Linked DNA regions of Saccharomyces cerevisiae S288C. Changing the gene in region 1 together with any one later gene gives a genetic interaction. Each region holds a gene or a part of one and is shown in the gene's direction. Other genes may lie near its edges.

The links.
Region 2: mutations in PSP2 (region 1) and CDC43 together harm fitness more than expected from each alone (negative genetic interaction), as found in Saccharomyces cerevisiae (2 studies listed by BioGRID).
Region 3: mutations in PSP2 (region 1) and BAT1 together harm fitness more than expected from each alone (negative genetic interaction), as found in Saccharomyces cerevisiae (2 studies listed by BioGRID).
Region 4: mutations in PSP2 (region 1) and SDA1 together harm fitness more than expected from each alone (negative genetic interaction), as found in Saccharomyces cerevisiae (2 studies listed by BioGRID).

Annotation. Positions count from the first base shown.
Region 1 is NC_001145.3:234,590-240,489, forward strand, and holds PSP2 (Psp2p), read left to right. Parts: upstream 1-1,998; coding exon 1,999-2,002; intron 2,003-2,364; coding exon 2,365-4,142; downstream 4,143-5,900. Other genes in the region: YML018C (uncharacterized protein), read right to left, coding at 182-1,363; PPZ1 (salt homeostasis regulator), read right to left, coding at 4,869-5,900. UniProt on the Saccharomyces cerevisiae protein: DNA polymerase alpha mutation suppressor. Suppressor of group II intron splicing defects of a mutation in MRS2. May play a role in mitochondrial mRNA splicing.
Region 2 is NC_001139.9:211,089-215,711, forward strand, and holds CDC43 (protein geranylgeranyltransferase type I subunit CDC43), read left to right. Parts: upstream 1-2,992; coding exon 2,993-4,123; downstream 4,124-4,623. Other genes in the region: AMS1 (alpha-mannosidase), read left to right, coding at 1-2,579; LYS5 (holo-[acyl-carrier-protein] synthase), read right to left, coding at 4,190-4,623. UniProt on the Saccharomyces cerevisiae protein: Catalyzes the transfer of a geranyl-geranyl moiety from geranyl-geranyl diphosphate to proteins having the C-terminal sequence Cys-Ile-Ile-Leu or Cys-Val-Leu-Leu. Acts, among other substrates, on Rho1 and Rho2 and CDC42 proteins.
Region 3 is NC_001140.6:515,327-519,891, forward strand, and holds BAT1 (branched-chain-amino-acid transaminase BAT1), read left to right. Parts: upstream 1-2,205; coding exon 2,206-3,387; downstream 3,388-4,565. Other genes in the region: SET5 (S-adenosylmethionine-dependent methyltransferase), read right to left, coding at 1-1,159; CRG1 (S-adenosylmethionine-dependent methyltransferase), read left to right, coding at 4,111-4,565. UniProt on the Saccharomyces cerevisiae protein: Mitochondrial isozyme of branched-chain-amino-acid aminotransferase, involved in the biosynthesis of the branched chain amino acids (BCAAs) leucine, isoleucine, and valine.
Region 4 is NC_001139.9:978,549-984,598, reverse strand, and holds SDA1 (Sda1p), read left to right. Parts: upstream 1-2,530; coding exon 2,531-4,834; downstream 4,835-6,050. Other genes in the region: transcription factor TFIIIB subunit BRF1, read left to right, coding at 327-2,117; LSC2 (succinate--CoA ligase (GDP-forming) subunit beta), read left to right, coding at 5,280-6,050.

The DNA of each region.
Region 1 (5,900 bases):
GGCCTCTGTTTTGTTAGTCTGGATACTGAAAAAAATGTTTAAGATTATTAAATCACACAGGAATGAAATTGTTATTAGAAAAATTATAATATACATTCTATATAGGGAAAAATTTCTTCTGACTTTGAAATTTAGATGCTAATAGTTTTTTTTATTATTTCTATTTTTTTTTTTTTTAAGATCAGTTGTTTGCTGCTGGCACCTCCACTGATTCGTAATTGCTAGCCGTTATTGAGTTCTCAAAATGTTCCTCCTCAGAGCTTTTGTTAATGATGAAAAATGAGCCTAAGATGAGGGTAGCACCAAATAAATAGAGCGCAGACATGGTTTTGTGCTTAAAGATTACATCACCAAACATTGCTAGGGGTATCGTTATGCTCAATCCTACGGTGACGGTTAAAGGACTCGTTAGTAACATAGCCTTTGCCCAACAAAAGTCGCTAACAAATGTGATGAGACAATTGACGAAGATTATTACCACAACTTTAGGATCTTTGGGCAGAGAGAATGGTTCCCAGCCAAAAAAGTCCAATACAATCAGTGATGGCCATAGAAAAAGTAAATTAAAGAGACCAACAAAGCCAAAAAAAATCTTCATGTTAACACGAGTCTCATCTCCGACTTCTCTCTTCAATAAAGTACTGTAGACACCGTAAAGTACAGCACCTGCAAGTGCCAACAAGTTGCCTATCAGAACTTGCACGGCATCGTTATCATCACCACTAACGTCCGCGATATGGCGTTGGTAGCGCTGATGAGAATCTGATTTGGTGACCATGATTATGCCTACAAAGGAAATGAACGACCCGAGTACTTTGGACTTGCTCAACGATTCAACATGACAAATAGCACCTATGAACAAGGTGAAAAAGGAAGAAGTAGTGGAGAGGATTGTCTGCGATGCCACCGATGTGAATGCCAGCGAGGCATTGGTCACAAGGTTAGCTGTGAACCAAAGTATGCAGAACTCAGCACTTAACTTGATTGTTTCATATAACGTTAGCCTCTTCTTTTGGTTGGCATGCGTGCCTGCTTCAAGGTTTGTAAGCAGTGGGCTAGTCATATCAACCGAGCGATTGCTATCACTACCAGTACCTTCTTCCTCCATAATTAGTTCGCGGTGAACGTTTGCACGGCCTGTGTCCTTGTAATTCACCACAACGGCCTTTGCAGTTGGAAAAAGATAAAAGATAAAGGCGGCAGTATTGGTGTACGTGATAAAGAATGGTTTTCTATACGAGTCATCCTCGAAGATCAAATTTATCAGGAAGGACGATAAAACCCACAAAATAATGACTAGACCCAACATCAGAAGACCCAAGGTCCACCTCTTATTAAAGGACGTTTGATCCTTCGACACCATGGCTCTGTTGAACTTTTATCTGAGAGAGGAAAAAAAGGAAGGAAAAAAAAGAAGAAACTTCCTTTATTTATTTGTCTTAACCACAACACACAATGCAATAAGATGCAATATAATATCAAAGCCAATATCTTATGTTGCTGATCCTGAGAAGGAATATATACAATTTATGTAGTAAAATACCTTTTCTTCTGCGAGTTGCAAGAAATAGAAAAGACTCCGATTGCGCATCGCCAGAATAAAATTTCACAACCACACTTTTTGGCTGAACTTTTTATTACCTGATTAAACAGAGAGAGAAAAGGTAGAGGTCAAAATTTTTTAAGCAAAACTAAAAAAGATGCAAAATCACGTGCTGAAAATCTAACATAAGGGTTAAGATTAGAGTTTTATAGGACTTGTTTTGTAATATTTCAAATACGAGCTAACCCTACTGATTTCAATTAGGTCTAATTTAGGGTTGAGCTGCACTGAAATTTCGGAAATTTTGGGTTATTTTAAATGAGACAGAAGAACTACAGAGATACGTTCTTCAGACTTTAAAGCTTATCTCCACAAAGAATTGGTCAAGAAATCATCCTAGAAAAACACGTTTGCTCACTCGATCTTAATCACATAGAGTGCTGGAACGGGAAGAAATGGGTATGTGCCTCGGTTTTTCTCATTAACCCCTTTTGATCCATAACGGTCCTCTTTTGTTTCCTTTTTTTTTTTTGTTTTAGTATTTTATGTTTACTATTTTCTTCTGTTTCAGTCATACGTAGGAATTATTGCATGAAAGAGGATATAATATTCATGTGGATTTTTAAGAAAATAGATCAAGTTTAAATAGCCACTAACAATTGAACAATGCTCTCTCTTGGCCTCTTTTCTTCTTTTTTATCGTTTCTCTAAAAATCAAGCTGATTAGACATGGTCTTGCAATGTTTTTGCTTTCTCTAATCAGCTTGGTTTTCCGCAAAGAAGAGAAAGTCACGGAATTGTCTACATATGTTTCTATTCAGGAACAAATAATACATCTAATAATAATGGCACTACGAAGAAAATGTCCCTAGAAGAATTTCTAGGGAACGACACTTTAGGCGAGTCAGTATGGGATGAGGAAGATATTAATTTGGATGCTATAAGCAATACTACGAATATTGACATCTTGAAACAAACCAAGGCAGGCGAACATCAACGTGATGGTCACCAACAGCACCCACACGGTGGTCATGGACCCATGAACAGATCACGTTTTTCTAATGCAGGGCCTTTTGGTGGTGGTAGCATGGGGGACTTTGCAAATCATCACCACCCGCTGCAGCATCAGCAAGGTCCTCCTTATATTGTGAAGTTTTCTGATTTACCACCGAGATTTTCCAACTTTGACATTGAAGATCTTTTTCAAGCAAAGTTTACCAAGTTTATTAAGTTCAAACTGTTTTGGGAGATAAATAAAAATCCAAGTATTTCTACTTTGAAATCGGGGTCAATCTTTGATCAAAATTTCAAACGTGACTCGAAGGTAGCATTTGTCGAGTTATATACATCCCGTGATATGGACAAAATTTTGAACTATTGGACCACTCCTTTGAAGGAAATTTACCACATTACAACAGCGCCCGCAGAATTCGAAGATTTTAAGGATTACAGCACGAAGGTGAAATTATTAACAGACCCTAAAGACGATGCTGGCAAACCATTCATTACTAAGACTCAGCGGTCAAAATCCAATCCTTTTGGAAGTGCTAAACCGGTTGATACGCAATCGAAGATTTTGGACATTGAAGAAAAAATGGAAAATTTACACGTGGAAGATACAACAACCCTGAGGGCATCATTAATCCCTAGTAGTGATTCTATGGCAACCACTGCAACAGGCAGCAAGATCACAATCTTGAAAAAGCAGACACCTACAGAGGAGGAATCACATTCTGCAACCCCAACTCCCAAACCTTTAAGTTACTCTGAAGTAGTTGAGAGATCTGTGGTCAATGAAACTTCCAAGAAAGGAACTCCATTAAGCAAGCTTGACTCACCAGCTCTTGAACTACAATCTAAGCCCGATAAATCGGACGAGTTCAAAGGTGGCGATGAACAAGGCTTTGAGAAAGGTGGCGACGATAAAGCTCAATTAGATGTCTCAAATGATAAAGATAAAGGTTCAGAAACCGATGTTGATAAACAGTTCACTTTCAAGAATGTGGAAAGGGAACATAGTATGAGCAGAACCAAATATAACGGAAACCATAATAACAATAATGGCAATTTTAGAGGGAGTAATAGATATCGTGGAGGCCCCAATGGCAGCAGTTATAAAGGTGGGCATAACAATCGTGGTAATCGCGGCGGATATCGTGGTGGCAGCTCATACAACAACAACAACAACAACACTAATGATAATAATAATAATAATAATAATAGTAGTAGTAATAATAATAACGGTTCAAGATATCATGATCGACAAAACAATGAAGAAGGGTTAACCTCGGATTCATCTTTAGATGCCTCAGGAAATAAAAAGAATGATTTCACGAACTCAACATCCAATACACAACAATATTCCATTTTCAAACCAGCAAGTGGGTTCCTTGGCCAAGGTAATAATGATTCTATAAGGAACAATGGACGCGGTAACTATAACAGCAGCGGTATGAATGGAGGTTCGAGAGGAAGAGGATTTGGCAGAGGAAGGGGATTTGGCAGAGGCGCATATAACAATCGAGGTAGTCGTGGTGGACGTGGAAGCAGCGGTAACTACTCCAACTACAATAACAGAACAACAGACATGCCTTTATGAGTCATGTACTGACCCATTAATTTTCTTTTCTCTTTTTTTTTTTTTTTTTTTTTTTTCCTCTATTTCCTTTTTTTGTTCTAGTCGGTTACGCAGTTCTGAGTAATGTAATATAGCGTTCCTTTTCCTCTCAGATTTTTTTGACCTTATTTTGTTTCCACTTTTTACTACTTATGCTGCTTTTTGTCCATTTCCCCTTCAGTTGTTTTGAATTTTTTTTTTAAAAAAAATTCGTCTTTCTGATTAATCAATTTTGATTATATATTTTCTCTTGATTAGTTCACAATTTTTATAGGCCCTTATTTCTTAAAGAAGTTTTATGAAGTTTCGTAAGTATTGGGGGGGTTGAAAATAATCTCTCACGTTATACGCAATAAAAAATTAAAATTAAGGAGAACCAATCTATAGAAACGAACCATTGAATTTAGCTATATGACTATATACCATTACGTAATTTATATAAACAGCTTAATATAGCGAAAGCAAAGTAGAACGAAATTTCGGAGAGTTCTAGATTGTATAGAGCGAATGAGCATTCAATACACACGCGAAGGCAGTAGGCGATGAAAGGAAGTTTTTTAATGTCATTAAGAAAAAGATAGGGAACTTCTATTTCCTGTCTTTCATATATATATATATATATATATATATATATATGTGCATATGTACATCGTTGAGTTGTTCATGAAATAATGAATATAATACTTCTGGATTTTTTAGTCAGTAAATTTACTGTTGAGATTCGTTATCATTTGTGATGCTTGTTTCCATCATTTGCTGTTGTTGATTAGCCAGTTTTCTTTCCTGTCTACCTTTCTTCATAACTTGCTTCAAAGCTGCACTATCTAGTGGATCTAACAATTCAAAAGAGCACAATAAACCTTCGCTGACGCTCATTACAGCCCCCCAATTATCAAATTCACCACAATAATTTGGCGCGGAAAACACCGTAACGAGACTTCTATCATTGAAAAATTCATAACCGTCTTCCACAACCATGTGAGCTCTACAAACCAAATCAAACCCAAACTTGTTCAAGAATTTGTTAATTGCCACCTTATTATAACAGTAACTTACACCACGTTCGTTATCCTCCCATTCGTTGGGTGAATCTGTGGGATCGGACCACAAAAGATCATTAATTAAGCCAAAATCTGGTACATCAGTAGGCCTAACTACATGTCTGATTTCATCCATAGAATTTAAAACTGGCGACAATCCACCATGAACACAAAAAATCTTTCCGGCTACGATAGCAGCTAATGGTAATGTATTAAAAGTATCGATGAATGTCTTCCAGATCTTGATGTTACAACGACGTTTACATTCATCATAAAATCCATAAACCCTTGTGACGTTAGCACATTCATGGTTGCCTCTCAATAAAAAGAAATTTTCAGGGTATTTTATTTTGTAACAAAACAATAGTAAAATAGTCTCCAGTGACTGTTTACCACGGTCCACATAATCACCTAGGAATAAATAGTTCGAGGATGGTGGGAACCCACATTTGGTAAAAAGCCTTAAGAGATCCCCATATTGGCCATGAACGTCGCCTACAATTTTTACAGGAGGTGATAATTCTAATAAGGAAGGTTGAGAAAGAAAGATTTCACGAGCCTTGATGCAAATCTGTAAAATTTCATTGTTCTTCAAACAAACATTTTTTGTTCTCTTAGCAGCGTAGCCCGCATCCAGTAATTTTTGGATAGTTTCATCAATATCGATAGGCTTTTTGAATTTTTTTGGAGCGTTTTTGTT
Region 2 (4,623 bases), on another chromosome or scaffold:
CTGCAAGAGAGCTACCTGGAGACTCCTGGCAAAAACACCAGGCAAGACAACTAGGCAATGCAGTTATGAATCTTTTTGACCCGAATGATCGTTCAAGTGTTCGTAAATGTCGTGAATTACTACAAAGGGAATACTTTGACTCCTTTTTAGAAAGCAGTAAGGTTTACGAACAAGGTGAATCTCAAGTTTTAACAAATGTTTATGGTATCGGCAACTGTCATATAGATACAGCTTGGCTATGGCCATTCGCAGAAACAAGAAGGAAAATTGTGAGATCTTGGTCTTCCCAATGTACTTTAATGGATCGCTTCCCAGAGTATAAATTTGTTGCTTCACAAGCCCAACAATTTAAATGGTTATTAGAAGATCATCCCGAATTTTTCAATAAAGTGTTAATTCCAAAAATTCAGCAATCTCAGTTTTTTGCTGTTGGTGGTACATGGGTTGAGAATGATACCAATATTCCCTCAGGGGAATCGCTGGCAAGGCAATTCTTTTTTGGTCAAAGGTTTTTCTTGAAGCATTTTGGTCTCAAGTCAAAGATATTTTGGTTACCTGACACCTTTGGTTATTCTTCGCAAATGCCACAACTTTGCCGCTTATCTGGTATTGATAAATTTTTGACTCAAAAGCTTTCCTGGAATAACATCAACAGTTTTCCGCATAGCACGTTTAACTGGGCAGGGATTGACGGTTCTCAATTATTGACTCACATGCCTCCTGGTAATACGTATACAGCAGATTCACACTTCGGTGATGTTTTGCGTACTGCCAAGCAGAATAAGACACCAGAATATTACGGCTCCGGTTTAATGTTGTACGGAAAGGGTGATGGTGGTGGAGGACCAACTGAGGAAATGCTGCAAAAAATGAGGCGTATTAGATCCATGAATAACAGAAATGGTAATGTTATTCCAAAGTTACAAGTTGGTATAACGGTTGATGAATTTTATGATGACATTTTGAAAAGGACTAACCAAGGCCATGATTTACCCACATGGAGTGGTGAATTGTATTTCGAATTTCATAGGGGGACATACACCAGTCAAGCTCAGACCAAAAAATTAATGAGGTTGTCCGAAATTAAACTACATGATTTGGAATGGATAGCTGCCAAAACATCAGTTTTATATCCCGATTCGTATAAATACCCTTCCAAACAGATTAACGAACTTTGGGAGAATGTTTTGTTATGTCAATTTCACGATGTTCTACCAGGATCATGTATTGAAATGGTATATAAGTATGAGGCTGTCCCTATGTTGCACAACGTTGTGAAAGAATGTACTTCCTTAATAGACAAAACCGTTCAATTTCTTCAGAGTCAGAGTAAGGCAGATTTGGTTGAGATGAGAACATTAACTTGGTCAAAACCAGAAAAGGTTTCTGAGGAGTGCTCGTTGAACGGTAGTTACACGTCCTCTGTAACCGGGTACGATGACTATATAGTCCTTGCCAATGGGAAGTTGAAAGTTATCATTTGCAAAAAGACTGGGGTGATCACAAGCATTACGGATGAAACTTTGGGGGTAGAATACCTGGACACGGAACATGGCAGAAACAAATTGGGCGCCAACCAGTTTGTTATTTATGATGATAAACCTTTGGGCTGGCAGGCTTGGGATACTGAACTTTATTCCGTCAACCAATACAAGTATGTAACAAAGCCGAAGAAAGTTCAAGTTTCCTGCAACACAAAAGAGAAATGTGCTGTTGAGGTCATTTTTCAAATTTCCGAAAAATGCAAAATCAAATCAGTGATATCACTCAATGCAACTGCGGTCACTGATGCTAAATTAAGTAAAGTAGACATTTCTACGACGGTAGAAAACTGGGATGCTAGAAACAAATTTTTAAAAGTTGAATTTCCCGTTAATATTCGGAACGATTTTGCTTCGTATGAAACTCAATTCGGGATTACCAAAAGACCAACACATTATAATACCTCATGGGACGTCGCTAAATTTGAGGTTTGCCATCACAAATTTGCTGATTATTCTGAATACAGCAAGGGTGTTTCAATTTTGAACGATTGCAAATATGGGTTTTCCACACACGGTAACTTGATGAGATTATCATTATTAAGGTCACCAAAGGCTCCGGATGCGCATGCTGATATGGGTACTCATGAGATAAAATATGCTATCTATCCACATAGAGGAGCACTATCAAGCGACACTGTTAAGCTCGCTCACGAATTCAATTATTGCTTCAAATACAAACTCCCCAAAGATATTGGCATGAATTTTGATGACATCATAAGCATTTCCGGAGATGAGAATGTCATTTTGTCTAACATAAAAAGAGGCGAAGATGATAGTGCTGTCAAGTCCAACTATTCATTAAATCCAAGGGATGAACAAAGTATTGTGGTAAGGGTTTACGAATCTCTTGGCGGGGAATCTTTTGCTTCACTAAATACCACACTAAATTTGAAGCGTATTGAGAAGGTCGATAACTTGGAGATGAAAGTTTATAAGAGTTTGACAGCAACGCGAGACGAATCAAATCATGCAATAAACAGAATTCCCATTAAATTGAGACCTTTTGAGATTGCCTCATTCAGGTTGTATTTCTGAGTTTGTCTCCCTCACTGTTTTTTACATTCACTCACTCCCAAACTTATGCCATTTCTATCATGATAACCAAAAATAGTCTTAACAAAATACATATAAGTAAATAATGCTAAATAAAAAAGCAAAAAAATAAAATTTATATCACACTTGTAAAACCTTTAAATGATCTTCTTTTTTACCTGTTTTATTCACTTGTTTTTTTTTTTCTGAGTTGTTGCGCCTTGGAAGAATGGAAAAGCAATAGTTTCAGTGACTATAGTATACAATCAAAACACCCGCCAGTTCAAAACTATTACTTGGTCACTAACCCCCAAGTCATCTCTAGCAATTTAAATTTCAATTTTAAGAAAACCTTTATTTATCCAACGTGAACAAGTACTTTCAAGCACTTCTGCCCACCGCTATATCGTGGAAAAATGTGTCAAGCTACCAATGGCCCGAGTAGAGTTGTGACTAAAAAGCATAGGAAATTTTTCGAAAGACATCTACAGTTGCTTCCCTCTTCACATCAGGGACATGACGTGAACAGAATGGCGATAATATTCTACTCAATCTCAGGACTCTCTATATTTGATGTTAACGTTTCTGCGAAGTACGGCGATCATCTTGGCTGGATGCGCAAACATTATATCAAAACAGTGCTGGATGATACAGAAAATACTGTGATATCTGGATTTGTTGGAAGCTTAGTCATGAATATCCCTCACGCAACAACGATTAATCTACCAAATACTCTCTTTGCATTGTTGTCCATGATTATGCTGAGAGATTACGAGTATTTTGAGACTATACTAGACAAAAGAAGCCTGGCGAGATTTGTTTCTAAGTGCCAACGACCTGACCGTGGCTCGTTTGTATCTTGTTTAGACTATAAGACAAATTGTGGATCTTCGGTTGATTCAGACGATTTAAGGTTTTGCTACATCGCAGTTGCCATTCTGTACATATGCGGATGCCGATCCAAAGAAGACTTTGATGAATACATTGATACTGAGAAGTTGCTTGGCTATATAATGTCGCAACAATGCTACAACGGAGCTTTCGGTGCCCACAATGAACCACACTCAGGGTACACATCTTGTGCGCTGTCTACCTTAGCTTTACTCTCTAGTTTGGAAAAGCTATCAGACAAGTTTAAAGAAGACACCATAACCTGGCTATTACATAGGCAAGTATCAAGCCATGGATGTATGAAATTTGAAAGCGAATTGAATGCCAGCTATGATCAATCTGATGATGGCGGTTTCCAGGGAAGGGAGAACAAGTTCGCTGATACGTGTTACGCATTTTGGTGCTTAAATTCACTACACTTACTAACAAAGGATTGGAAAATGCTATGCCAAACTGAACTAGTCACAAATTATTTGCTTGATCGAACGCAAAAAACATTAACTGGAGGCTTTAGTAAAAATGACGAAGAAGATGCTGATTTATATCACAGCTGTCTAGGGAGCGCTGCGTTAGCATTAATTGAGGGGAAATTTAATGGAGAATTATGCATACCTCAAGAAATATTTAATGATTTTAGTAAAAGGTGCTGTTTTTGAAGTTCAAACAGTAATAAGAGTCTATCGATTACATAAATGTGAGCAAGCGAAAAAAAAAAATTGGCATTATAAACCATCATTTTCGATGAAATAATCAATCAACGTAGATAAGCTGATATTATATAATTTTGGTCTGTTCGTGTTGATTTTATCACTGATGGACTTTGGCATACAGATAGTGACAATTTCGTTATTGAACCATTGAGAATGGAAAATCAATGGAACTTCATCCAGAGTTATGCACATAGAAGCTCCCTCAGCCGGAAAAAAGCTGATAGCGCCAAAATCTATTAGTGACAAGTCTGTGTTAAGGCCAGTTCCAGTAAATTTTGTATACGACTCCTTCAAGGACCATAAGTAAGTAAATATTGTGCATGGATCAGACGCTTTCAGTAAACCGTTAAATTCTCTTTCACTAAAAACTTCTTTAAATAGCTCCAACTCTTCCCTCCCGCCATAATTGCACGGAGAAGCGATATCAATTCCGACATCCTGGTATT
Region 3 (4,565 bases), on another chromosome or scaffold:
GCAACCTCAGTTCCTCATGTTCTTCTACTTGCTCAATATAGGCGTTTGGTTCACAATCATGGTTTATGAAGGAGATCCAATGATATACCTGGCCGTTATATTGATTGATATTGAACGTCCCGATCATGGTCAAAAATTTCTCGAAATCTATTTCTTCAGAAGCTTTTGGAAATGCACCGCAAAATAATTCGTAGCACTTCTCCCAAACAGTCTCGTCATCAATATTCTTCTCAACGCCCTTTTTGGTACCATTATCAGATTCCTCTTCAGTATGTACAGTTGTACCATTCAGTAAACTAAACGTACTGCCGATACCGCTGGCGTCTCTTAATTTAATTCTTTCCCTTTGTGAGATGCTTGCCAATTTTTGCCATTGCTCTTTGACCTCTCCTGTAGTATCCAAAAGCATGGATCCATATATAAGACCAACTGAAAAGGCAGCGGTAAAACAATATTTCTCACAGTAGTTAACAAATCTTTTCCAATTACCAGCATGAAGAATGTCTATTCTATTCGATCTCCATGAGTGGTATAAAAGCTCATGTAACGACGCATGTGCTTTTTTACATTTTTCACTGCACCAAATAGCTTTGCAAACTTCACAATCCAAATAATGGACCATAATTTTGTGCTGGGTCAAATCATATAGCGCCTTACCACATCGAGCACATGCCTTTCCATTAGATATTAAAAAAAGCTTGTCCAGTGGTGGAATATATACGATAGGTTTATTTTCTTTCAGGATGATTTGGCCCTTGGAAAAATCTCTTTTAGCGAAAAGGCCCCTTCCATGTTCGTCATCAATAAATTTCACTTCGACCTTAGCATCAGAATCTAGGGCTTTTGGAAAATGTATTTTATCTTTATATAGAGAAACGGTCTCTAGATCTGTGTCATAAAGATGGTGCTCATTTAGAATTTTTCGAAAACGAGAAGCACTCAATTTCCACGATTGATTTCTTTCCGTAATCCTGTCATAAAGATGCTGAATCGTAGCGTCTTCAGTTCCGGGCTCTTCCTTCCATAACAAAACTACGTCATCACAGATCTCTTCCTCTGTGGGAGTTATCTTTCGAAAATCAGAGCCATTTTCTGTACCATTATGCACTGCAGATTGATCGCTATCGTTTAAGGTTCCTATTTTGATAGTCAATGTCATTTTTGTGCCACTTTTCGTTATTTTGTATCAGTGCACGCTTGGTTATTTACCTATTTAGCTTCTATTGTTATATGGAGAAGTTCCCCATGATTATGATATCAAGAAAGAAAAAGAAAAAGAAAAATAATACGAAAAAAAAAATTACGAAGCTAAAATAAAAAAAATTACGGCAAGGAAAGGGTTTACTGATAAAATTTGTTATCATTCTTGCTAGTCAGTAAGAGCATATCTGCTCAAGTAGACAAGGGAAACTATCGCAGGTGGTCCGGAAAGTACTTGACAATCAAATGCTCGTCTGAAAGCCAATGAGGAAAACTTGTAGACTGTACTAATTTTTCAAGAGAAAGAAAGATACCGTATGTTTGACTATTCTAACGAGATTTATGCTACAAACTCCTCGAGAAGCAAACTGAGGTAGAATTACCCACCCACAGCGCGATAAGTCACATTGGCGCCCTGGACTTGACGAATACTCCTATCAATAGTAAGGCTCGCAAACCGCCCGTCCATATCAAGCCATTAAATTCTGTTATTATCCTTAAAAGTGAAATGCGCACCACAAGCTTGATGGCATTTCCTTCTGCACTTCTCAAATTGATAGCATTGCCTTGCGAGCAGTAGATAATTTAGATAAAGTGTATCTTGCCAGGGCCTTCCCAGGCATTAACTAGATAATGTGTTCTTTTTTAGCTGAACTGTAAAGCGTAAATGTTAACGCTGGATAAGTACCGCGTGTACGGTTGATTGAATGATCTTACTGATAGAGGCCAGGCGGTTGATACTTTGTGCAGATTTCATACCGGCTGTCGCTATTATTACTGATGAATTGGCTCTCTTTTTGTTTAATGGCCCATCCGATCCATATTGCCTTCTTATGACTCAAAATTCTATTGTGTTTGCCGGTACCGGCCTTTAAGCTTTGAAAAAAAAAAAGCATCTGAAAAAAATGGCACTATAAAGAGAGCTAGTGGTAACAACTACATGTTTTCGTTAGAATAAATCACCCTATAAACGCAAAATCAGCTAGAACCTTAGCATACTAAAACATGTTGCAGAGACATTCCTTGAAGTTGGGGAAATTCTCCATCAGAACACTCGCTACTGGTGCCCCATTAGATGCATCCAAACTAAAAATTACTAGAAACCCAAATCCATCCAAGCCAAGACCAAATGAAGAATTAGTGTTCGGCCAGACATTCACCGATCATATGTTGACCATTCCTTGGTCAGCCAAAGAAGGGTGGGGCACTCCACACATCAAGCCTTACGGTAATCTTTCTCTTGACCCATCTGCTTGTGTATTCCATTATGCATTTGAATTATTTGAAGGTTTGAAAGCCTACAGAACTCCTCAAAATACTATCACCATGTTCCGTCCGGATAAGAACATGGCCCGTATGAACAAGTCTGCCGCTAGAATTTGTTTGCCAACTTTCGAATCTGAAGAATTGATCAAACTTACCGGGAAATTGATCGAACAAGATAAACACTTGGTTCCTCAAGGTAATGGTTACTCATTATACATCAGACCAACAATGATTGGTACATCCAAGGGTTTAGGTGTTGGCACTCCCTCCGAGGCTCTTCTTTATGTTATTACTTCTCCAGTCGGTCCTTATTATAAGACTGGTTTCAAAGCCGTACGTCTTGAAGCAACAGACTATGCTACAAGAGCTTGGCCAGGTGGTGTTGGCGACAAAAAATTGGGTGCTAACTATGCCCCATGCATCTTACCTCAACTACAAGCTGCCAAAAGAGGGTACCAACAAAATCTATGGTTGTTCGGCCCAGAAAAGAACATCACTGAGGTTGGTACTATGAACGTGTTCTTCGTTTTCCTCAACAAAGTCACTGGCAAGAAGGAATTGGTTACCGCTCCATTAGATGGTACCATTTTAGAAGGTGTTACCAGAGACTCTGTTTTAACATTGGCTCGTGACAAACTAGATCCTCAAGAATGGGACATCAACGAGCGTTATTACACTATTACTGAAGTCGCCACTAGAGCAAAACAAGGTGAACTATTAGAAGCCTTCGGTTCTGGTACTGCTGCTGTCGTTTCACCTATCAAGGAAATTGGCTGGAACAACGAAGATATTCATGTTCCACTATTGCCTGGTGAACAATGTGGTGCATTGACCAAGCAAGTTGCTCAATGGATTGCTGATATCCAATACGGTAGAGTCAATTATGGTAACTGGTCAAAAACTGTTGCCGACTTGAACTAATGATAATGAAGGTAAACATCCCCTCCCCCCCCAAAAAAAAAAAACGAGAATTCCTCTCAGAGGATCTGTTTTTCTCTCACTTTATTCACATAGATACATACTTTTTTACAATTCCTGTTGAGTTTATTTATTATAAGAAATATTGGATTACTATTATTATTATAGCTTATGCAAGCCATTGTGCGGCTTCTTACGCTTTTTGAAATTGTTGACCTAACAACTTGGCACATTATTGAATTTCATAGAGACTGCTTGTAATTTAGTTGCCAAGGTATCTCGCTGGACTTTACATGTAAAATGAATGCGGCAAGATACCCAAGAGAGTTGATTATGCCAAAAAAAAAAAATCTATAAGGATATCCCTGGTATTTTCTGAAGAATAAATTCTAGCGTAGTTCAGAAGAGGTGCAAGTACAGTATGAATAATGGTATGCCTTCCATCATCGTGGCATACAGGTTCAGGCATGAAGAGATGATTATGTTCCCTCACCGGTCCATAATCCTGATTTAAACAGTTCATTAGTATATGTTCAGCCAACACAACAACGAGAAGCTTTGTAGTGAAAGTTTTCCACGATCTATATTTAGCATTCTAATTAGCGGCCCCAAGGGAACGTATATAAACATAAACAAACGGCACGAACTAAAGGGGCAAATTCAAGTTAACCCTTTTACACTCAGTACATCTTCAAAGCCAGTCTTCTGTCAATGGAAGAATCCAGAATGCCTAAAACTAGTTATTTAAACAAAAATTTTGAATCTGCTCACTATAATAACGTACGTCCCTCTTACCCTTTATCTTTAGTCAATGAGATAATGAAATTTCACAAAGGCACACGCAAAAGTTTGGTTGATATTGGATGTGGCACAGGAAAAGCAACTTTTGTCGTTGAACCCTATTTTAAGGAAGTGATTGGGATTGATCCTTCTTCTGCTATGCTTTCGATTGCTGAGAAAGAAACAAATGAACGTAGATTAGATAAAAAGATTAGATTTATTAATGCGCCTGGTGAAGATTTATCCAGCATTCGACCAGAAAGTGTAGATATGGTTATTTCAGCAGAAGCCATCCATTGGTGCAATTTAGAAAGGCTGTTTCAGCAGGTTTCCTCTATATTACGAAGTGATGGAACTTTTGCATTCTGGTTTTATATTCAGCCGGAATTTGTGGACTTTCC
Region 4 (6,050 bases), on another chromosome or scaffold:
AGTGTTAGAAAAATTTGCTTCTATCTTGATGACATTGAATACTCTTGGACGTAAAAAAAGACATCCGATTAAAGTGGAGGTAATCTACAAGAAAAGTTGTTCTTCCCCTCATTAGAAATCTTGCAATGGTCACGGCCGTCGCTATCAAAAATCAACGAAGTGAAGTGACTCTAATTTTTGTCTATTAATGTTGCGATGGCCTTATTTGCTATTCTAAGGTTTTCGCGAAGTATCAGGTATGATAAAAAAAATCATATTTTTGATCGCATCAAGAACAATCCCAATGGTAAAAACGGTAATAAAAAAGAGTCCATAGTCATATACCAATGCCAGTGTGTAAGAACTGTCACGGAACCGAATTTGAGAGAGATCTTTCCAATGCTAACAACGATTTAGTTTGTAAAGCTTGTGGTGTTGTCTCAGAAGATAATCCTATCGTCTCTGAAGTTACATTCGGTGAAACAAGTGCAGGTGCTGCTGTAGTACAAGGTTCTTTTATCGGTGCAGGACAAAGTCATGCTGCATTTGGTGGTTCTAGTGCTCTAGAATCTAGAGAAGCCACATTGAACAATGCAAGAAGGAAATTACGCGCCGTTTCTTACGCATTACATATCCCGGAATATATCACAGATGCTGCTTTCCAATGGTATAAGCTTGCATTGGCTAATAACTTTGTACAAGGTCGTAGGTCCCAAAATGTTATCGCTTCATGTCTTTACGTTGCATGTAGAAAGGAAAAGACGCATCATATGCTGATCGACTTCTCTTCAAGGTTACAGGTGAGTGTGTATTCCATAGGAGCCACATTTTTGAAAATGGTAAAGAAATTACATATCACAGAATTGCCGTTAGCGGATCCTTCCTTATTCATTCAACATTTTGCCGAAAAATTGGATCTTGCTGACAAGAAGATCAAAGTGGTAAAAGATGCCGTAAAATTGGCTCAAAGAATGTCCAAGGACTGGATGTTTGAAGGACGTAGACCTGCAGGTATTGCCGGCGCATGTATTCTACTAGCTTGCAGGATGAATAATTTGAGAAGAACTCATACAGAGATCGTCGCAGTTTCACATGTCGCCGAGGAAACTTTACAGCAACGGTTGAACGAATTCAAAAATACAAAGGCTGCTAAACTTTCAGTTCAAAAATTTAGAGAAAATGATGTGGAAGACGGTGAGGCTAGGCCTCCCTCCTTTGTGAAGAACAGAAAGAAAGAAAGAAAAATAAAGGACTCTTTAGACAAAGAAGAGATGTTTCAAACAAGTGAAGAAGCATTGAATAAAAATCCAATTTTGACGCAAGTATTAGGAGAACAAGAACTGTCTTCCAAGGAAGTCCTGTTTTACTTAAAACAATTTTCAGAAAGAAGGGCCCGTGTTGTGGAGAGGATTAAGGCTACTAATGGTATAGATGGTGAAAATATATACCATGAAGGTTCTGAAAACGAAACAAGGAAACGCAAACTTTCTGAAGTTTCTATCCAGAACGAGCATGTTGAAGGGGAAGACAAAGAGACGGAAGGGACTGAGGAAAAAGTCAAGAAGGTAAAGACAAAAACATCAGAAGAAAAGAAAGAGAACGAATCTGGGCATTTTCAAGATGCCATTGATGGTTACTCTCTAGAAACAGACCCATATTGTCCTCGCAATTTACACTTGTTACCCACAACGGACACATACCTTTCGAAAGTTAGTGACGACCCAGATAATTTAGAAGATGTTGATGATGAGGAGTTAAACGCGCACCTATTAAACGAGGAAGCTTCTAAATTGAAGGAAAGAATTTGGATTGGTCTGAACGCAGATTTCTTACTTGAACAAGAGAGTAAACGTTTGAAACAGGAGGCAGATATTGCCACAGGTAACACATCAGTGAAAAAAAAACGTACGAGACGTAGGAATAATACTAGAAGTGACGAACCTACAAAAACTGTGGATGCAGCAGCAGCTATCGGATTGATGTCAGACTTACAAGATAAGTCTGGTTTACACGCTGCATTGAAGGCAGCTGAGGAAAGTGGTGATTTCACAACTGCTGATAGTGTCAAGAACATGTTGCAGAAGGCAAGTTTCTCCAAGAAGATTAATTACGACGCCATTGACGGTTTGTTTAGGTAACGTTTAGGTAATCAACCCTAGGAAGGAAAAAGGGAACGGAAATAAAGACGCAATACATTTGGTTTTGGCTAAAATATATAGAACATGAAGTGCAAAAGAATTAAAGGTGCATTAACTATTTAATATGTATGTGATTATATAAATCTAAAATCTCAATGTCGTAACAATCACTGTTCCATTAAAAAAACGGGTAAGGTGGAAATTTCAGTTTTTTTTTTTTTTCTTTTCTTTTGCTTGATCGGCTAAAAAATGAAAATTTTAAACTCATCTCATCGCAGATAACCATAACACGCTTAACAGATAGAACGTTCTACCACTAAAAAAACATATCAAACGTCACTTTTTTGAATAAGTAATAATAGTTAAGGAGGAAGCACAAGACGCACTGAATATACCAATCAAGGGCATCAACAATGGGTAGAAGAAGTAGAGCAGCTATGCTCCCAACAAATATCATTCTTTTACAGAATTTGGTAAAGCGTGACCCAGAGTCCTATCAAGAGGAGTTTCTTCAACAATATGCACATTATGAATCGCTAAGGGACATTTTTATGTTAAATGGGCTTGCTGGAGGTGATTCTGCAGCTGCCACTAATGGGCTCGATGTAGGAAATGGATCTTCTACAATGGCAGGTACTAACGGTACCACCATGAGCACTTCAACTTCGCAACTTATTGAATTGGTTGGCTTCGTATCTCAAGTCTGCTCATGTTTTCCTCGTGAAACTGCAAACTTCCCGTCTGAATTAAAGCAGCTTTTGCTGGAACACCATAAGTCCTTGCCATTTGAATTGAAAGAAAAAATCTTAAGTTGTTTGACGATGTTAAGGAATAAGGACGTCATTACTGCTGAGGAATTAATTCAAAGCTTATTTCCTTTATTGGTTGCTTACTCTTCCCATGGTAATTCACTCGGCGTTAATTCACACGCCAAGGAATTGAGGAAAATCATTTATACAAATTTAATTTCTTTATTAAAAAGTTGTAATACTAATGGTAAAAATCAAAAATTGAACAAATCTACGCAGGCCGTTTGCTTTAATTTGTTAGATCAACCAGATTCCCAGGGAATCTGGGCCACAAAATTAACCAGAGAACTTTGGAGACGTGGTATTTGGGATGATTCAAGAACAGTAGAAATTATGACCCAAGCAGCATTACATCAGGATGTTAAGATTGTCATGTCTGGTGTGATGTTTTTTTTGGATGCTGACAGAGAACGTGAAGAAAATTTTGAAGAAAATTCCGAGGATGAGGATGGGTTTGATTTAGATGCATTAAGGCATAAGATGCAAGTCAATAAAAAAACGGGTAGACGTGGTAAGAAGCTGGAGAATGCCATAAAAACTGTGAAGAAGAAGAAGAAGAACGGACCGGGTGCTCCTCAAGGGTATTTAAACTTCAGTGCTATCCACCTTTTGAGAGATCCACAAGGATTTGCCGAAAAATTGTTTAAGGAACATCTTTCAGGCAAAACGAAAAACAAATTTGACATGGAACAAAAAATATCTTTGATGCAGCTGTTATCAAGGTTGATTGGTACCCATAAGTTAATTGTTTTAGGAATTTATACTTTTTTTTTAAAGTACTTAACTCCGAAACAAAGAGATGTTACAAGAATTATGTCCGCATGTGCCCAAGCATGTCATGATCTTGTCCCTCCTGAAGTTATAAATGTCATGGTGAGAAAGATTGCAGACGAGTTTGTATCAGACGGTGTTGCCAATGAAGTCGCTGCTGCAGGCATTAATACCATTAGAGAAATATGCTCTCGTGCACCTTTGGCTATCGATGAGATTCTACTACAGGATCTGGTAGAATATAAGGGGTCTAAAGCTAAAGGTGTCAATATGGCTGCCAAGTCATTGATAGCGTTGTATAGAGACGTGGCACCAGAAATGCTAAAGAAGAAGGATCGTGGTAAGAATGCCGCCATGGAAGTACAAGAAGCCAAGAAAGGAGGTAAAGATTCAAAAAGACCGCAATTTGGTGCCGACAACAGTGTTCAAGGGATTGCTGGTATCGAACTGTTAGCCAAATGGAAGAAAGAACATGGTGAAGAGAGTGAAAATGAAGACGCTGATGCCAACTGGGAAGTAGATGTCGATAGCGAAGAAGACGATGTCGACGGTGAGTGGGTCACCATGGATAGTGATAAAGAATATGACGTTGATATGGAAGATAGTGACGATGAAAAAGACAATGCTAAGGGCAAGGAATCAGATTCCGATTTGGAACTAAGCGATGATGACGATGAAAAAGAAGTGAAGGATGAGCAAGAAGATGCAGATATAGATCCCGAAGCTGCCTTCCGTGAAATTGCTTCTACACGTATTTTAACTCCGGCAGATTTCGCTAAACTACAAGAATTGCGTAATGAGGAAAGCGTTGCTAAAATAATGGGTATCCACAAACAAGACAAGCGTGAAGAGTTAGTTGATGCAAGTACACTAACAGGCCCTATCAAATACAAACAGTCTCGTGAGGAAAGATTACAAAAGGTGTTGGAAGGTCGTGAAGGTAGAGACAAATTTGGTAGTAGACGCGGTAAGCGTGACAACATGCGTTCTACTACCAACAGAGAAAAAGAAAGAAGGAAGAACTTTGTTATGTCTATTCACAAGAGATCTGTTAGAGGTAAACAAAAAATGTCACTACGAGACAAGCAAAAAGTGTTACGTGCACACATCACCAAACAAAAGAAGAAGGGGTATTAGACGACATCGTAGCCATATTAATATATACATACATATACACAGATACATTCATCTCTCCAACTGTATGAGGACTTCTCTACCTTGAATGGAACACCAAAGCCAGGTAGATACTAAAAAAAACTCTTTTTATGTCTTGGTACAGAGAAAAATGCTCCAACTGGTATCGATTATGTGTTCATCGGGAATTCTCGGCTTTTCCCCGCAGCGGCGGAGTGAGTATTCTAAAAGTTGGTTGGCCTTTCAATTGCCGCGTAGTCAACATCTTTGAGGTTTTATATAAGATCGACGTTTTCCTTATCAGCACTTTGACGTTTTCTCTCGAAAAATAACAGTGACTATAGAGCGATAGTCCAGTTTTTTTGTAACTGACTTTTAGGTAGTTAGGATTAATAAGGATTGAGTCAATACAATCGAAAAAAATACTGAAGCATTGCAACTGAACAAAATGTACTCAAGAAAATCCTTATCCCTAATTTCAAAGTGTGGGCAATTAAGCAGGCTAAACGCGCAAGCTGCTTTACAAGCAAGGAGACACTTGTCAATTCATGAATACAGGTCAGCTCAGTTATTGAGGGAATACGGTATTGGTACTCCAGAAGGATTTCCAGCGTTCACTCCCGAAGAGGCTTTCGAAGCAGCCAAGAAATTAAACACTAACAAACTGGTCATCAAGGCGCAGGCATTGACCGGAGGTAGAGGTAAAGGTCACTTCGACACCGGTTACAAAAGCGGTGTTCACATGATCGAAAGTCCTCAGCAGGCAGAGGATGTTGCAAAAGAAATGCTCAATCATAACCTGATTACTAAACAGACGGGAATAGCGGGGAAGCCAGTATCTGCTGTATATATAGTGAAAAGAGTAGATACAAAGCATGAAGCTTATTTATCTATTCTAATGGACAGACAAACCAAGAAACCGATGATCATTGCGTCCAGTCAAGGTGGTATGAATATTGAAGAGGTGGCTGAGAGAACCCCAGATGCTATAAAGAAATTTTCAATTGAAACTTCAAAGGGATTGAGCCCACAAATGGCCAAGGATGTTGCCAAGAGTCTCGGTTTCAGTCCCGATGCACAAGACGAGGCAGCAAAAGCTGTTTCCAATTTGTATAAAATATTCATGGAAAGGGATGCTACACAAGTGGAGATTAACCCTTTGAGTGAAATTGAACATGATCCAACCCACAAAATCATGTGTACAGACGCCAAATTTGGG